Linked DNA regions of Lepisosteus oculatus. The protein of the gene in region 2 interacts with the protein of the main gene of each other region in a pairwise test. Links are inferred from orthologs where the notes say so. Each region holds a gene or a part of one and is shown on either strand. Other genes may lie near its edges. The genes, in order: rpp25l and arhgef2a.

Region 1 (8,166 bases), on a different chromosome or scaffold from region 2:
CTGGGAGACGCCTCTGTGCACCCAGGTGTAAAACCAACAGACTCAGGAAATCTTTCATACCCACTGCAATCACACTCTTAAACAATGCAAAGTAACTGCCTTGTCTCTTGTCTCTTTCTCCTGTAACATGTCAGTGCCTCTGCCACAAAAACATTGTAATTTCCCTGAAAACTTTATTAATTGCATTGATGCATCCATGTGACAAGTTACAACATTAATATGTTTTATTGGAAATATCTCTGCTAATAAAATACTCAGAAGTTTTTCATAATTCTTCTTTTAATCCAGTGAAAAAATAAGTGTTCACCTGAGTTTGTATTTATATAATTTATTGCATCACTTGAATTAACTTAAAACATTCTTATAAATTCCTTCTTCTCTGTTCAACATATAAAAATAAGGCAGAAGACAAATTTCATCCGTCTACACTTTTAACTCGTCCATTTAAACTTGTAAATGGGAAAGTAGTCCATGAAGATCTAAGGTACACAGAGACAGATCTTCTGCTTCTCAAACAAAACATGTAATATTTCCTTCGAAGTTCAGATGCCCACTAATTCAAGTTCCTGCTGATCTTTGTCCTCGCTATCGACATATCCTTCCTCTAGAGGAACTGGTGAAGATTTCCTCCCATGAACCTCTTTGGCTAGGAACTTGGCGTCTTCAGGATAGTTGTCCGGATGCCCTCATTCGTGGTGAGTGCCCCTCCAACTTGGCGCTTTCCCCGACACCTCGCTGCGCCGCCCCCGAGCTCCCGAGGAGGGTCGACCCCCTTTCCCTCTGCCGCTGCCCCCGCCTCTCTTCCTGCGCGGCTCCTGCGCAGCCCCCTCCTCTCTTGCGGCCTGGGCCCACAGGGTGTCAAAGCAGCCGGGCGGCTGGTACCCTGCCTGGGTCGCGTCCAGGGGGTCTTTGGAGAGCAGGACCCAGACGGCGGGAACGTTCTTGTGCACGGTGAGGCCGTCCAGGCCCGCTGCCGGTTCCAGCGGCTCCCACAGCTCCTGCGTGCGGCTGTAGAGCAGCCGCGTGACCTGGTGCAGCCCGCGCACGCGCCGCTTCAGGATTTCCACACAGGTGATGGTCTTGGCCACGCTCTTGCCCGAGCCGGTGAACACAATGTGCCGCGTGGCCTCGCTCTCCATGCGCCCCACCGCGAAGCCCATCAGGTTGCGGATCTTGCTGCCATCCTTGACCTTCATCTCAGGTGTGCCGGCGGGCAGCCCAGGGAAGGGACAGGGGCAGGGCTGCTCCATCGTCTTCGCTTTGCGGTAATTCTCCATGCCTGGGCGGCCTCACAACTGCACAGACAATAAAGGAGCAGGGCTGTCAGTGCCTTTCCTTTTCAGCACAATTATATTCACAATGATCTATTATTGGAGACCATCACTGTTTCTTGCTTTCAGGAAGGTCTTGCATGCTTATGTTCCCAATTAGAACATCTGATCCTCCTTTTCCGAAATTCATCCTTGTTGTAACAAATTAATTTTCTCTATTAATATGGAATAAAGCTACTGAAGACACTAAATTGTACGCAGGACATATGTGAAAAGTTTAGGGAAGGATCAAAAACGGCAGTAAAAACTCTGTGAAAGTTGGGAGTGTTGTTTCTGACCCATTTGCTTTTCTCCCTTCCTTGATCTTTAAACTTCCACTGTCGTCTGTGCTAGAGCAAAGCTGAAACACGTGCAGCGTAACAGTTAAATATAAAGCAAAATTTCCCATGTTTAAAACCTAACTTAATAGCAAAACAGAATTTAGATAGTAGCTTAGATATTTAAAGGCTAGTGAAGAATTAGAAATGTCTGCGTTTTTAATCATCCAGAAGAACCCAAACAGCAGTAAATATAGGTGTGGACCAACTTCAACCGCAACTGAATGCAGCCCAACCTGGGTGAAGTGTGGCAGCCATTACTTCACTATCTGAAATAATAATAATAATAATAATTGCTTACACTTATATAGCGCTTTTCTGGACACTCCACTCAAAGCGCTTTACAGGTAATGGGGACTCCCCTCCACCACCACCAATGTGCAGCATCCACCTGGATGATGCGACGGCAGCCATAGTGCGCCAGAACGCTCACCACACATCAGCTATCAGTGGGGAGGAGAGCAGAGTAAATGTAGCCAATTAAGGAGGACATTTAAACAGACCAGATAGTGCAACTCCCGAGTGAAATTTAACCAGGACACTAGGGTAACACTCCTATTTTTACCAGTAGTGCCATTACATAAAGACCAAATAGTACAGACAACGTTTTTGGCACTCATTGCAAAATTTGTTAAAGAAGTTATTTTCATCATGACGGTCATATCAACAACTCTTATTTCACAGATCTACACTCTTGACTAAAAGCACTGTTAAGTTGCAATTCAATAACTGAACACCCTTTTTCGTGTTTCACTCTTAGTTATTACTTTTAACTCAAATTTGTATCTATTTTGGTCAAGGTATTTAAAAGATACAGCAGTGTCAAAAAACAGTATGTGTATCACCTCGTTTGATTAAAGCAATATAACATTCAAGTGATGCTATGTACACGATAGGTGTGTATATTTATTAAGAGTAAACACATTTATTATTGAGTTGACGTGCATATCGGACTATAACAATAATATTAATAGTGAATGAATTAAGTGTTTGGATAAAGCGTTTAACATGACATAAAGGAGTGGAGCGTTTATTCGGTAAGTGCATTTCTTTTTTTCCATGTCCGCAACAGTCACGCGGTAAGTGTGAAACTAGAAGTGCACAAAATACAGATCCCCTTTGTGGACAACTGGCATCCGTACAATATATTTTTTAATAAAACAAAATTAAGTGACTGCAGTGGGCGTCACCTAGAGGGCAACAGAGATATGCGGAGCATTTCATTTCATAACTTATTTAGTCGTGTGTTGTGCTGATATAAAATAACGCAGCACGACCCTAAGGTCGCAACACTTTTCTGTAACTAATTGTTCAGCTATAAATTACAGATCTATCCCTCACTACTGATACAATAGCCTGCAGCCCAGTCTGATGTTCGGAACAAGATTATTGAAGCACTTAAAGCGCGTAAAAAGTACAGCAATCAAATCACACTTTGGACTTATTGTACTGGAGATGTAGATTTATACTCACACAGGCAGGGATCCTCGCTGTAGTTAAAAAAAACACAAAAAATAGTACTTTTTTTACTGTCATTTAATTCGAACAGCACACTACAGTAAGGCTCATCACCATTGCCGAAAAATACTTTGTTAAGCGTCAAGCAGTAACAGCTGCTGTAAAGCGTTGGAAAATACCAACGTTGCTGCTGGGAATTGTAGTTCGCACCCCTTTCCGTCGCGGCGCAGGTGTTGGTGTTCGGGCGTTTACTACTAAGTGGTTACTCAGTTCTTGTGAATACTGTGCCTGCTGCTCTTCCCGTCTGCTAAACTCTAAATTTTCAGCGCTAATTTAAATGGTCTGTTTGCTTCTTTCGACTACTCAATCTCGAGTTTCCAAACACCACACTTCATGGGTAGTGTGTCCCTCATCTGCATTATAGGAGTTAAGGCTTTCAACTTCCTTACCCTTATTTCTGTTTAAACTGCTCTTAATATTTAATCAACTACTAAGGAACTGATTCGTGTGAGGATGGCATTGCATCATACACCTCCACAATGAACTTTTTTTCTTTTCTGCTAAGGTCATATTGGTTGCATTTCAATACAAAAGCATTAAAAAAATCCTTACATTTGTTTAGCACTCTTCTGGCCACTCCACTCAAAGCGCTTTACAGGTAGGGACTCCCCTCCACCACCACCAATCCACCTGCATAATGTGATGGCAGCCACAGTGCACCAGTCCACCCATCACACATCAGCTATCAGTGGGGAGGTGAACAAAGTGATGAAGCAAATTCATTGATGGGGATTATTAGGAGGACATGATTGGTAAAGGTCAATGAGAAATTTGGCCAGGATGCCAGGGTAAGCAGGGTAACACTCTTACTCTTTTTGAGAAGCGCACTGGGATTTTTAATGACCACAGAGGTCAGGACATCGGTTTTACGTCTCATCCAAAAGACAGCACCTTTTTAAATTAAATTAGGCTCTTTTATGAGTCTTACTCAACAATAAACATGACAAACAAGAAACATTTGATAACCAATTATCTTCATACATTTACACCTTCATCAAAATACAATTTCAATATTACTATATAATAATTTTGGAGGTACACCAGTTATGGAAGACTGACTGGAGTACACAAGTGGAAATGGAAACATTTTCTATTGAAAACAGAAAGTGCCTTTTTACACACAAATATTCTAGGGCTTTAGAACAAGCTTCCCAACCATGTGGAAACTGATGTGGGATGCTTCACAAATGAGAAGTCAATAACCTTACTATTACTATTTACCAAATGAGTAAGATTAACCAATTTGTCTTTAACTTTTTTATATTTTGACAAATTAGGAAACTCTTATTAAATTAGGATAATTAACTGTGTGTGGCATAAATGAGAATACCAATTACTCATCTCTTTAGATAGTGAAAGAAAACAAAAACGGCATGTGTAGTTTAATAATTTAAGTTTATTGTGTTCTTTTTATAAACACAGGTATCTCTCATTTCTTGTAGAGACCCTTTTTTCATTTTAATATTTCAAAACTGTAACATTACAGAACATGGAAGAAAGTAAGCTCCTATGTGACTGTAAAGTGTTGATAAGGACTAACAAGCACTGAAGGTCCAGAGCAGAAGTTGGAGGTTTTGGTGGCAGACAATGCGATTACTTCATGAGCCCTCCATGAAAATCACCTGGTCCACAAACCCTCTCTATGCCCCATGGAGACCATGGGAAACATAACATTTGGATAGGCTCTGCAAAAACAACCTACACCTTATATCGTAAGTAGCGTGATATTCACTTTGTGCCAGTAGGATAAATGGGATGGAAGTTATAACCTTAAAGTATTTGGTACTACCAGTGCGTTCCAAGTTGGATATTGTATGTTTGTTTAAACACTGCAGCTGCAATGTCTATAATGTCAAAGGGTTCTTTAAGTCAATCCATCTTGGATACACTGTGTAGGGAAGAGGGGTTTCTGGGACTTCTGAGTTACAGGAAGGGAGGGAGAAGGGTGATCTGAGGCATGTGGTGAAACAGGTAAGAGATTCCATTGGCGATCCATCTCTCCTCTGAAGTCAGGGTGTGTCTGGCATCTTCCAGGCCAAGGACTTCACTCCACTACTGGCTTGACCTGACTGGCATTTTCAAGCTGCCTCAACATCTCGTCCCATTGAGAAAATTGTTTAGACAGCAGGAACATCTGGCATGAAGTCAAGGAGCATAACTGTGGACCAGTATGTCTTAGTTATATTATATGTAGGGCTATGGAAATGACAACTGGAACATCTAAATGGAAATGGGATTCTAGTTGGCAGTCAGCATGGATTTAGAATAGCCTGCTTAATTAGTTAGTTCTCTGAACAAGCAACAACAGTAAAAAATCCAGAGCACACAATCTGGTATATTAAGATTTTCAGTAGGCTACTGATACAGTTCGTCATAAAAGACTAATCCTAAAATTCCGGGTATTTAAGATTATATATGTCTGGATTTAAAACTGGAAAATGGATATAAAAAAGAGCATCAGATAAAAGGGTAAATACAGTGGGAGGATGGAACTAGTTGAGTGCCACAATGGTCTGTAACAAGAACACTGTTCTTCCTTTATATCAATGATCTACGATAAATCGTTTAAAATGCCTTACACTTACTACACTTATCATTAAGGTTAACCACATAACTGATGTGTTATGAATTATTACAACACAACTGGAATGTACTGGCGATTTGTATTATCCAAAGAAATTCACTGTTTTCCTATTCTTGTTTCCCATTCGTCAATTAACAGAAACTGAAAGTTGGCTTAGTCTGCTTCACATCTGGCTGACTTGCAGATGTTAATACAAAATGCGCACCACACTGTTGATACACATTTTCCATGTGATGACAATTTGAGACATAAAGTAGTAGGACTAGCAGCAGTAGTGTCAGAAGGATACCATCTTGTTGTAATCTTCAAACTGCTTCTTCACTTCCTCAGATAGAGTTTCACACTGGTCCTGCGGAGAAGAAAAAAACGACTGAGGTTTTGAGGTAAAACAAATGATATTCCAGGATTACCAAAGAGAAGGGATTTAATTTTGTAGTAGGAATGTTGAAAACAGTAATTTTAATATTACTTTAATTCCAAAAGACAGTAAAATTCACTCAGATTATTATTGCCCACTGTACACCACTAGAGGGCCCTCTAGCCAGCCCCTCTCTCATTAGTTCAGCGTGAGAATGTATATCAGCACCACCTGGGTCTTCATTAGAAACCCTATATAACATTCGCACACAATCTCCCTGTGTTTGCATCAGAGCCACGGCACCAGTCGCCAGACTGCGGACGTCCGTTTCCACTCTCTTATGGAGATCTCAACCATCATGTCGAAATTCGTACACTTTTATCTTTGCTTGAAGGCTACAAGAACGCCACTTAGTGTACACGTCGGCTCTCTTGGCTAGAGGTATCGACCAGAGACCAGAGAAAAGGCAGCCACAAAACCCACACTGTTAAACACCTAAACCATTTACAATCTACAGTAGCAAGTGTTTCCTTTTCCTGGCAGGACTGCTGCCCTTAAGGCTATGAGTACACTTAAATTTTTTTAATAATTGACACTACAGTGGAAAGTGATGAAAGTACTGACTTTATACTGACAAAATGGGCGATAACTGTTTCTATGCAGCATTCAAAGGGATCTCTGACCTTAACCATGATGCCGCTGCAGCTACTACTAAATTCTGGAGGCTTTCGCTGCAAAGAGCATAATGTTACTATGGATTTGGCTTTGTTGAATTTTATTTCAATTAACGCTTATTGATGCAAAGCAATGTGACCCTTGTGTTTTCTGGGATCAATTATTTATGACCAGTATGGTATGACTTTGCTCTATTCAATTCTATTATAATTACACCATATCATTTTCAGAAGTATTTTAAGCAAGACAATCTATAATTTATGCTCTTACTGCATATGGTGTTGCTGTTCCGTTATCATTGTGTGTTAACACATCTGGAGGATACTGTATAGAATAAATGCGTGTGCATGAATACACAGAGAAAAATACATTTAATCTTCAAGCCTTTATCGATTGGCCACCCCAATATTTTTACACAAATTTGTCATTGGCTTTATTTCACCTTACCCTTGAAAATGAATAAATTCATCTTGCTGTCTTACAAGAAGTATTAGATATGTAAGCAATTTTATCTGGTTAATTGCCCTGTGAAGGTTAGACTATCACTGAAAAGGAATTGAGTGAGAAATAGTTCATTTTGCCTTTGAAAAGCAATCATGATAGTTCGTGAATGAAGACACACTGTATCTAAGTTAAATACAAAAAACTTTAAATACTTTCTTCATAGGGGTAATGTGAGCCTATTCTTTCCACTTTCCTAAGAAAGAGGATTACCTGCTGTTGAACCACTTTATTACAGAGAAAGAAATCAGAGCCCAGATTGATAGACAGCAAGAGAGAGATAGAGTTAGCGGCAAGGAGCTCATACCTGCTGTTTGATGTGTATCTGTGACAGGCGTTGCAGCTTGGTGGCGTGGTCAGGGACAGCTGTGTAGAACACAGGCATGTTACAGAACACTCCCAGAGGGGACAACACAGGCAACAGTGACAGAGCAACCTCTCAGAAACCAGCCAGGGTAAGATCCACAAAGACCTCTTACAAAACACATGGGGTTCTCCTCTAACACTGTACAAAGCAAGAAGTGGTACAGTATTTCCACATTTGAGAGATTATAATAATAATAATTAATAATTGCTTACATTTATATAGCAGCTTTCTGGACACTCCACTCAAAGCACTTTACAGGTAATGGGGACTCCCCTCCACCACCACCAATGTGCAGCCCCACCTGGATGATGCAATGGCAGCCATAGTGCGCCAGGACGCTCACCACACATCAGCTATCAGTGGGGAGGAGAGCAGAGTAATGAAGCCAATTCATAGGTGGGGATTATTAGGAGGCCATGATTGGTAAGGGCCAATGGAAAATTTGGCCAGGACACCGGAGTTACACCCGTTCTCTTTTCGAGAAAAGCGCTGTGATTTTTAATGACCACAGAGAG
Region 2 (7,747 bases):
GAGGTGGGAAGGTCTGCTTTCATGATGAAGGAAATCTCTCCAGAACACGATCAACAGCTTTGTTGTTGCCTTGTGTGCTCAGCTGTCTTTGATTGTTCATTCAGCTACGTGTTCCGGCTATAAATTCAAGTGGTGAATTTAGCCCACTGTATGGGTTTAGTCTGTTCTCTCTGGTGGTACATCTGGCCTGTGTGATCAGGCGCAATGTGTACAGGTGGTGTGCTCGGGCGTTTAGCCTGTGTGATCAGGTGCTGTGTGTACAGGTGTTCAGGTGGCATGTTCAGCCGCTGACAATGAGCTGCTCACTCAGCCCTCTGGATCAACACTGACTGGAAACACCGCCCAGGTCCAAAGAGCCACACCTGACTCTCCACACTCAGGCCTCTCCCTGCTCCTCACCCTCTCCCTCTCTCTCCCTGCTCCTCACCCTCTCCCTCTCTCTGATCCTCTTTCCTTCTCTCCCTCAATCTATCTCTGTCTCCCTCAGACTTCCTAGACCTCTCTCTCAGACTTTCCCTGCCTCTCTCCCTCTTTATTCTGAGAGCAGAATAAACAGTGTCTATTGTCCGGGCAGAAATCCGCCACACAGCAGTCAGTCAGGACATTCCTGAGAGGGAGGTGTGACCGGTGCAACAATGGGCCAGCGAGCGCCAGCTCACAGGCAGCGAGGCTGGGCCTCAGCTCACCCTCCCACACCCTGACCTCACTGGCTTTACTGCACTGTACTGCGCTTTTACCCTGATCTCACTGGGCTTTACTCACTGTACTGTGCCTCTACCCTGATCTCACCGGGCTGTATTGCACTGTACTGTGCTCTTACCCTGATCTCACTGGGCTTTGCTGCTCTGTACTGTGCTTTTACCCTGATCTCACTGGGCTTCGCTGCACTGTACTGTGCTTTTACTCTGATCTCACTGGGCTTCACTGCACTGTACTGTGCTTTTACCCTGATCTCACCGGGCTGTACTGCTCTGTACTGTGCTCTTACCCTGATCTCACTGGGCTGTACTGCACTGTACTGTGCTTTTACCCTGACCTCACTGGGCTGTACTGCTCTGTACTGTGCTCTTACCCTGATCTCACTGGGCTTTGCTGCTCTGTACTGTGCTCTTACCCTGACCTCACTGTGTGCAGGCTGAGGTGTGGAGACACAGAGAGCAGGTGGCCAGTTGAACCAGTCTGACAGTGATGGAGATAATGGAGTGGCTGAGGAAGCACAGCGCCTCTGAACTTGGTCTCGTGTCACTCTGACTGATCCTGTCCTGCAGGAATCTTCTCTTTCACTTTCCTTCTCTCAGAGAGCGCTCACGCTGGATCGATCGTCAACAGGGCGGCTGTATACAGGGTTGCTGTATGCAGGACTGATTGTATATTGGGTTGTTGTGTAGAAAGTGTGTTGTACTGTACACAGTGTTGTTGTATACAAGGTTGCTGTATGCAGGACTGATTGTATATTGGGTTGTTGTGTAGAAAGTGTGTTGTACTGTACACAGTGTTGTTGTATACAGGGTTGCTGTATGCAGGACTGATTGTATATTAGGTTGTTGTGTAGAAAGTGTGTTGTACTGTACACAGTGTTGTTGTATACAGGGTTGCTGTATGCAGGACTGATTGTATATTGGGTTGTTGTGTAGAAACTGGTTTGTACTGTACAGTGTATAATGCTTTTGTATACAGGGCTGCTGTATATTGGGTTGTCGTGTTAAATCTATACATGCCTTAAGAGTCTATTTCCTTTGCACTTAGTTTAGCGAAGAAATTTAAAAGTCAACAAGTCTCCTCCTCCTCCTCTCCCTCTCTGCCCCTCTGGCTGCTGGCCTTGTTTGCAGCGCTGTTGTTTACATGTCGATTGTAAACACACACACACCCTGAAAACACACACACTCACTCCCACATTTATAAGGCACTTCCACATGCTGAGGACAGGAGAACTGAAACTGTTAAAAAAGGCAAACACTCCAGAACCTGTCAGCCACCCCAGCGGTACACTCACTGTCTCCACAGGCCACGCACACACCAGGCACACGGAACTGCTTTTCATATCTGCTGCTGACAAAGTGCAATAATACAACACTCTGTGTCTTCACACTAACACTCCTTCATCATCATCAGAGCTGGAGAGTCACTGTATAGACACTCAGTCCAGCTCCTCTGTATCTTCACATGAACACTCCTTCATCATCATCAGAGCTGGAGAGTCACTGTACAGACACTCAGTCCAGCTCCTCTGTATCTTCACATGAACACTCCTTCATCATCATCAGAGCTGGAGAGTCACTGTACAGACACTCAGTCCAGCTCCTCTGTATCGTCACATTGAGACGAATCCTTTGAAAAACAACTTCCACATTCCTCCACACCCTAAAATGCTTTAGGCTTCTAATCTAGCAAAATAAGACACAGAGGTGATAAAGGTGATGAAGTGGCTATGTTTCAAAATGAATTCCAATCAGGAAATAAAAAGCTCACTCGCCTAATTGCTTATAAACCCGTCAGGGTGAGAGCGCCGTGACCCGTCCCCCGCCAGCAACAACAGACTTACAGCCCGAGTGAGTGACGGCTGCTCCGTCTCCGTCCAGAAGTCACGCTTTTCTCCGGGTTCTTGCTGTTTGGGCGAATATTTCTCCTTGAATGATTCAGGGGTTTAATGTCGTTTTCCGGACATTTCCCCCCCGCGAGCCTCAGTCTCGCGCCTGCGGTGCTCGCCGCTCGGGCCAGGTGAGCGCGAGCTCCTCTTCCTTCCCTTTTTTTTAAAAAAAAAAATAAAATAAAAAGACAAAACTCTTTTCCTTGGTCTCTTCTTCCTCCTTTTTCCCTTTGTCGAAGAGCAGAAGGTCGGGTCAGCCGCCAGAATCCCCAGAAACAAAGTCGGCGGAGAAATCGAGGATAGACGCGCAACAGCCGGACACAAAGGCGCGGCTACCTGCCGCCGCGGGCCGGACCTGCGGGTCTCCGCTTCTCCCGGGTCCGCTCTTCGCCGGCCGTCGCTGTCATTCCTCCACGCGAGACAGTTCCACAGACCCCCCTCCTCCTCACGAGCTATGATCCTCGGGCGGGTCGGGTCCGCGAGCTGCACCTGTGGCCGGAGCGTGAGAGCGTCGCGCTCCGGAGTTTCGGCTGAGCGGCGAGTGTGTGTGTGCGCGCGCGCCTCTGTGGGTCAGCGAGTCAGCTCATCAGGGGCAGCGCCGCGCGCGAGAGGCGACGTCACGTTTCCAGATCGGCGGCCACGTGTCCGCGACTCTCACCTGCTGTTGTACAGGAGTGGGGCGGGAGATCAGTGGGGGTGCAGGAGAGGAGAGGGGGCGGAGAAGTGGGGGCACAGGAGAGGAGAGGGGGCACAGGAGAAGTGGGGGTGCAGGAGAGGAGAGGGGGCGGAGAAGTGGGGGCGCAGGAGAGGAGAAGGGGCACAGGAGAAGTGGGGGTGCAGGAGAGGAGAGGGGGTGCAGGGGAAGAGAGGGGGCAGAGAAGTGGGGGTGCACTCCAGGTGTGTGTGTGTGTCCAGTAAAGAGTCTGTACTCCAGGTGTGTGTGTGTGTGTACAGTGTGTCCAGTAAGAGTCTGTACTCCAGGTGTGTGTGTGTGTGTACAGTGTGTCCAGTAAGAGTCAGGACTCCAGGTGTGTGTGTGTGTGTGTGTACAGTGTGTCCAGTAAGAGTCAGGACTCCAGGTGTGTGTGTGTGTGTACAGTGTGTCCAGTAAGAGTGAGGACTCCAGGTGTGTGTGTGTGTGTGTCCAGTAAAGAGTCTGTACTCCAGGTGTGTGTGTGTGTGTGTACAGTGTGTCCAGTAAGAGTCTGTACTCCAGGTGTGTGTGTGTGTACAGTGTGTCCAGTAAGAGTCTGTACTCCAGGTGTGTGTGTGTGTGTGTACAGTGTGTCCAGTAAAGAGTCTGTACTCCAGGTGTGTGTGTGTACAGTGTGTCCAGTAAGAGTCTGTACTCCAGGTGTGTGTGTGTACAGTGTGTCCAGTAAGAGTCTGTACTCCAGGTGTGTGTGTGTGTGTGTACAGTGTGTCCAGTAAAGAGTCTGTACTCCAGGTGTGTGTGTGTACAGTGTGTCCAGTAAGAGTCTGTACTCCAGGTGTGTGTGTGTGTGTACAGTGTGTCCAGTAAGAGTCAGTACTCCAGGTGTATAATGTTAGACAAATATGGCACTTAACATCACGCTGGTCTGTGTGTTCTGTGCAGTTATCAAACTGCACCAGTGAGGAAACCAGAGTCTCTGTTTCTACAACTCACAGGAGGAACAGAGGTGAAGTTTAACTCCTGGACGTGGCTTTAAAGTTTTTCCATCATGAAATTCAGATATCAATATGTCTGAGACAGAGGAAAACTAGAACTGTTTATTAAAATCGGTTATGCACACAGGTCTTTAAAAAAACTAAAACATTATTTTTTCTGTATAAACATGCAAGGCAGGCCTGCTTTTGCAAGGAGGTACAAAGTCTTCTTTTTCTGAAATGAATCATTCTTGTTACAAAAGCACTGCAGTAGATCAGTACAGTGCAGTACAGCCCAGTGAGATCAGGGTAAAAGCACAGTACAGAGCAGGAAAGCCCAGTGAGATCAGGGTAAAACACAGTACAAAGCAGTACAGGCCAGTGAGATCAGGGTAAAAGCACAGTACAGAGCAGGAAAGCCAATGAGATCAGGGTAAAAGCATAGTGCAGTGCAGGAAAGCCCAGTGAGATCAGGGTAAAACACAGTACAGAGCAGGAAAGCCCAGTGGGATCAGGGTAAAAACACAGTACAGAGCAGGAAAGCCCAGTGAGATCAGGGTAAAACCACAGTACAGAGCAGGAAAGCCCAGTGAGATCAGGGTAAAAACACAGTACAGAGCAGGAAAGCCCAGTGAGATCAGGGTAAAATCACGAACACCAGGTGAGAACCCATGTGAACATGGGGAGAACATGCAAACTCCTTAAAGAGGGTCCCCGAGCCCTGAATGGCACCATGCTGTCCTGACTCAGAGATCATCTGCGATAAACACCCCAGGCTCACTGCACTGGACAGTCTTTAAAAACAGAGGAGGTGACTCAGGGTGGTCTGCCAGACTAACTGGCCTGGGGCTCCCGGGACTGTGGCATGAGACCCCTGTTCTAGGCCCCAGGAACGTGAGGAGATCCAGTCCGCCAGTTTGACTCCGGCTCTGCCTACTGGGAAGCGTTCTGCTTTCCAACAACAGCGCCAGATCTGTCTTCAGCTCCAGAGCCGCCTGGTGTTCTCCCCTGCACAGGGGACAGGAAGCGCCCCCTCGCAGCTCTGATAAAACACCCTTCAACTGGGAGTCGTCCTCCCCAAGAGTCCAGCTCCTTCCAGATCCGCTGGCTCGTCCTTGACCCGGTTCACGTCCAGCTGCCAGGGGAAGAGCCGGCTACAGCGCCCCCTGCAGGAGCTCTCGGGTGAGGCGGGCGAGACCGTCTTCTTGGGCCCGGAGCAGGCGCGGCGGGTCAGCGAGTCCCCCTGGCCTCTAACGAAGCTGCGGCCCTTCAGCAGTAACGAGCCGGCAGACTGCAGGGCGTCACTCGCGGGAGTCAGGCCCCTGTCGAACCCGGCTCCGGCCCCGGTCTCGTTCTGCTCGGCCGTGGATGAAAGCTCCTGATGTTGGATTTTACAGCCGGCTGGCCTGGTATTCCGCTGCAGGGAGAAATCGGGCCAGAGCCGGATCCAGAACCTCTTCCTGCCGTTTTCCCCGGAGCTCCGTCCCTGGGGCCCTGAACTCCTTCATTGGGACAACCCATATTGCACAGACATGGAAACAAAACACTAACACATGTGCTGCCTTGACAACAGTATGTTGAACCACGGATGTTATACAGGAGACCCCCTCACTGCTCCTGCAGAGCTACTGTCTCTCTGGCCTCTTCCAGCCTGGTTCTTAATTACTTAATTACACTAATTGGTCCAGATGAAGAAGGTGACTGGCTGGCCCTATAAACCCTGAGAGATCAGAGGAGCTCTGCAGGACCAAGGCTGGAGATTCCTTGCTATGGTACTGTTAAAGAAATACTACATAATAACTGGTTTTCTGGGCTTGTCCGCTCAGAAACCCCCAACCTGCCCTACAGCACCCCCCATGACTCTCAGGGAGGAAGTTCGGTAGTCCCTCTGGTCCACAGATCCTCCAGGGCTGGAGCTCGGCCCAGACAGTCTCTGCCCATCCACACCTGCCAGCCAGGACTCCAGACTGGGTTGGAGGCAGCCCAGTGGCGCCCCCTTGTGGTTGCTCCCTAGGAATTGCTGCTGAGGCGCCGGCGGATGAGGGAGGCAGGCTTGGTCTGGACGTCCTCCTGGTCACTCTCGCACTGTCTCTGAGGTGGACAGCAGAAGCAGGACAGTCAGCACCCCTCTTTTACCCTACAACCACCCCTGCTGCCTTTCCTGTCCCACCCCACTCTCTCCTTTCTCTGCCCCTCCCATCCCCTCTCCCCCTTACCAGCTCCTGGTCCTCCTTCCCCGTGCTCTTGCACAGCAGCTGCAGGTGGCACAGTCGATTACAGGCCGACACCATCTTATAGGAGACCTGGCGAGAGGGAGAGAGAGGGGGTGAGTGTGAGGAACCGCAGTGTAGTTCCCCCGCTGGCCACCAGGTGGCGGCAGACGACAGCTCCTCAGTCGTTAATAATAACTGCACTCGCTGGCCAAGCTAAACAAGGCCCTGAAGAGACCAGCTGGCGGGGATCAAGACTGGCCGCTGTCTCCTCAGGGGGGGGAGCAGCACTGGGGCTCCAGGTTCAGGTCCTGGGGTACAGGCACCCCCACATAGAGTCTGTACAGTCTCCCCGAGCCCTCCTGGGTTTCCCCTGGGTGCTCTGGTTTCCTCCCACAGATCAAAGACAGCGGCAGGTTGGCTGGCCTCCAGGAAAACCGCGTGGCCGCGCGTCTGTCTGCCCGCGCAGGGTGCACCCCGCCTTGCGCCCCGCTGCTCGCTGGGACAGGCCCCGGCGGCCTTCCCGTACCCACCTTCCACTTCCTGCGCGCGTTGAACCTCCGGAAGCTCTTCATGTTGATGGAGGAGCGGCTCCGATTGTCCGCCTGCTTCCTGCTCAGCGGCTGTGCGGCGCAGGGACAGGGAGAGGGACAGGGAGACGGGATTAGGAGAGAGGGAGACTCCCAGCAGCCACGAGCCTGTGAGCCTGGCCAGTACCTGGAGGGGTGGCTGCTGCTGGAAGAGGTGTTAGCGTGACCAGTAGGGGGCGCTCACCCTGCAGTCTGTGTGGGTCCTAATGCCCCAGTACAGTGACGGGCACACTATACTGTAATAAAGGTGCCGTCCTTCGGATGTGAAATAAAACCGAGGTCCTGACTCTCTGTGGTCATTAAAAATCCCAGAGTGTTCCCCGAAAAGAGTGGGGGTGTTATCCCTGCAACCTGGCCAGATTCCCCCTTTCCTTTACCAGTCAGGGCCTCCTAATAACCCCCCTCTCTGAACTGGCTTCATCGCTCTGCTCTCCTCCCCACTGAGAGTTTGAGTGGAGTGTCCAGAAAAGATCTATGTAAGTGTAAGGAATTAGAATTATTATTATTATTGTTATTATTATTATTATTAGAGAGCGGAGCTGTGCCCACGCCTGGCTCCAGAGTGTGCTCCCACAGGGGGCCAAAACTGGAACCAGTTCCTGAGGCCCCTCACTGCAGAGGACAGCGGGACAGCGGGACAGCAGCGACTGGCCCACAACCTCCCAGCAGCCAGGACCCCCTGTCTCTCGGGGGGGGGGGGCTCTGCCAGCCTCGGGTGCGAGTGCCAGCCT

The links.
Region 1: the proteins of arhgef2a (region 2) and rpp25l interact in binary tests that used the Homo sapiens proteins (3 or more experiments, as listed by UniProt). The two-hybrid records come from large-scale screens. The link is inferred for Lepisosteus oculatus from reciprocal best matches to the Homo sapiens genes ARHGEF2 and RPP25L.

Annotation. Positions count from the first base shown.
Region 1 is NC_090705.1:20,166,515-20,174,680, forward strand, and holds the start of rpp25l (ribonuclease P protein subunit p25-like protein), read right to left. Parts: upstream 3,252-8,166; 5' UTR 3,122-3,251; intron 1,296-3,121; 5' UTR 1,278-1,295; coding exon 687-1,277; 3' UTR 1-686. Other genes in the region: dctn3 (dynactin subunit 3), read right to left, coding at 5,211-5,300, 6,040-6,099, 7,592-7,650. UniProt on the Homo sapiens protein: May be a component of ribonuclease P or MRP.
Region 2 is NC_090722.1:6,216,589-6,224,335, forward strand, and holds the start of arhgef2a (rho guanine nucleotide exchange factor 2), read right to left. Parts: upstream 3,137-7,747; 5' UTR 2,543-3,136; intron 1-2,542. Other genes in the region: death-associated protein kinase 2, read right to left, coding at 6,227-6,307, 6,433-6,519, 6,960-7,049. UniProt on the Homo sapiens protein: Activates Rho-GTPases by promoting the exchange of GDP for GTP.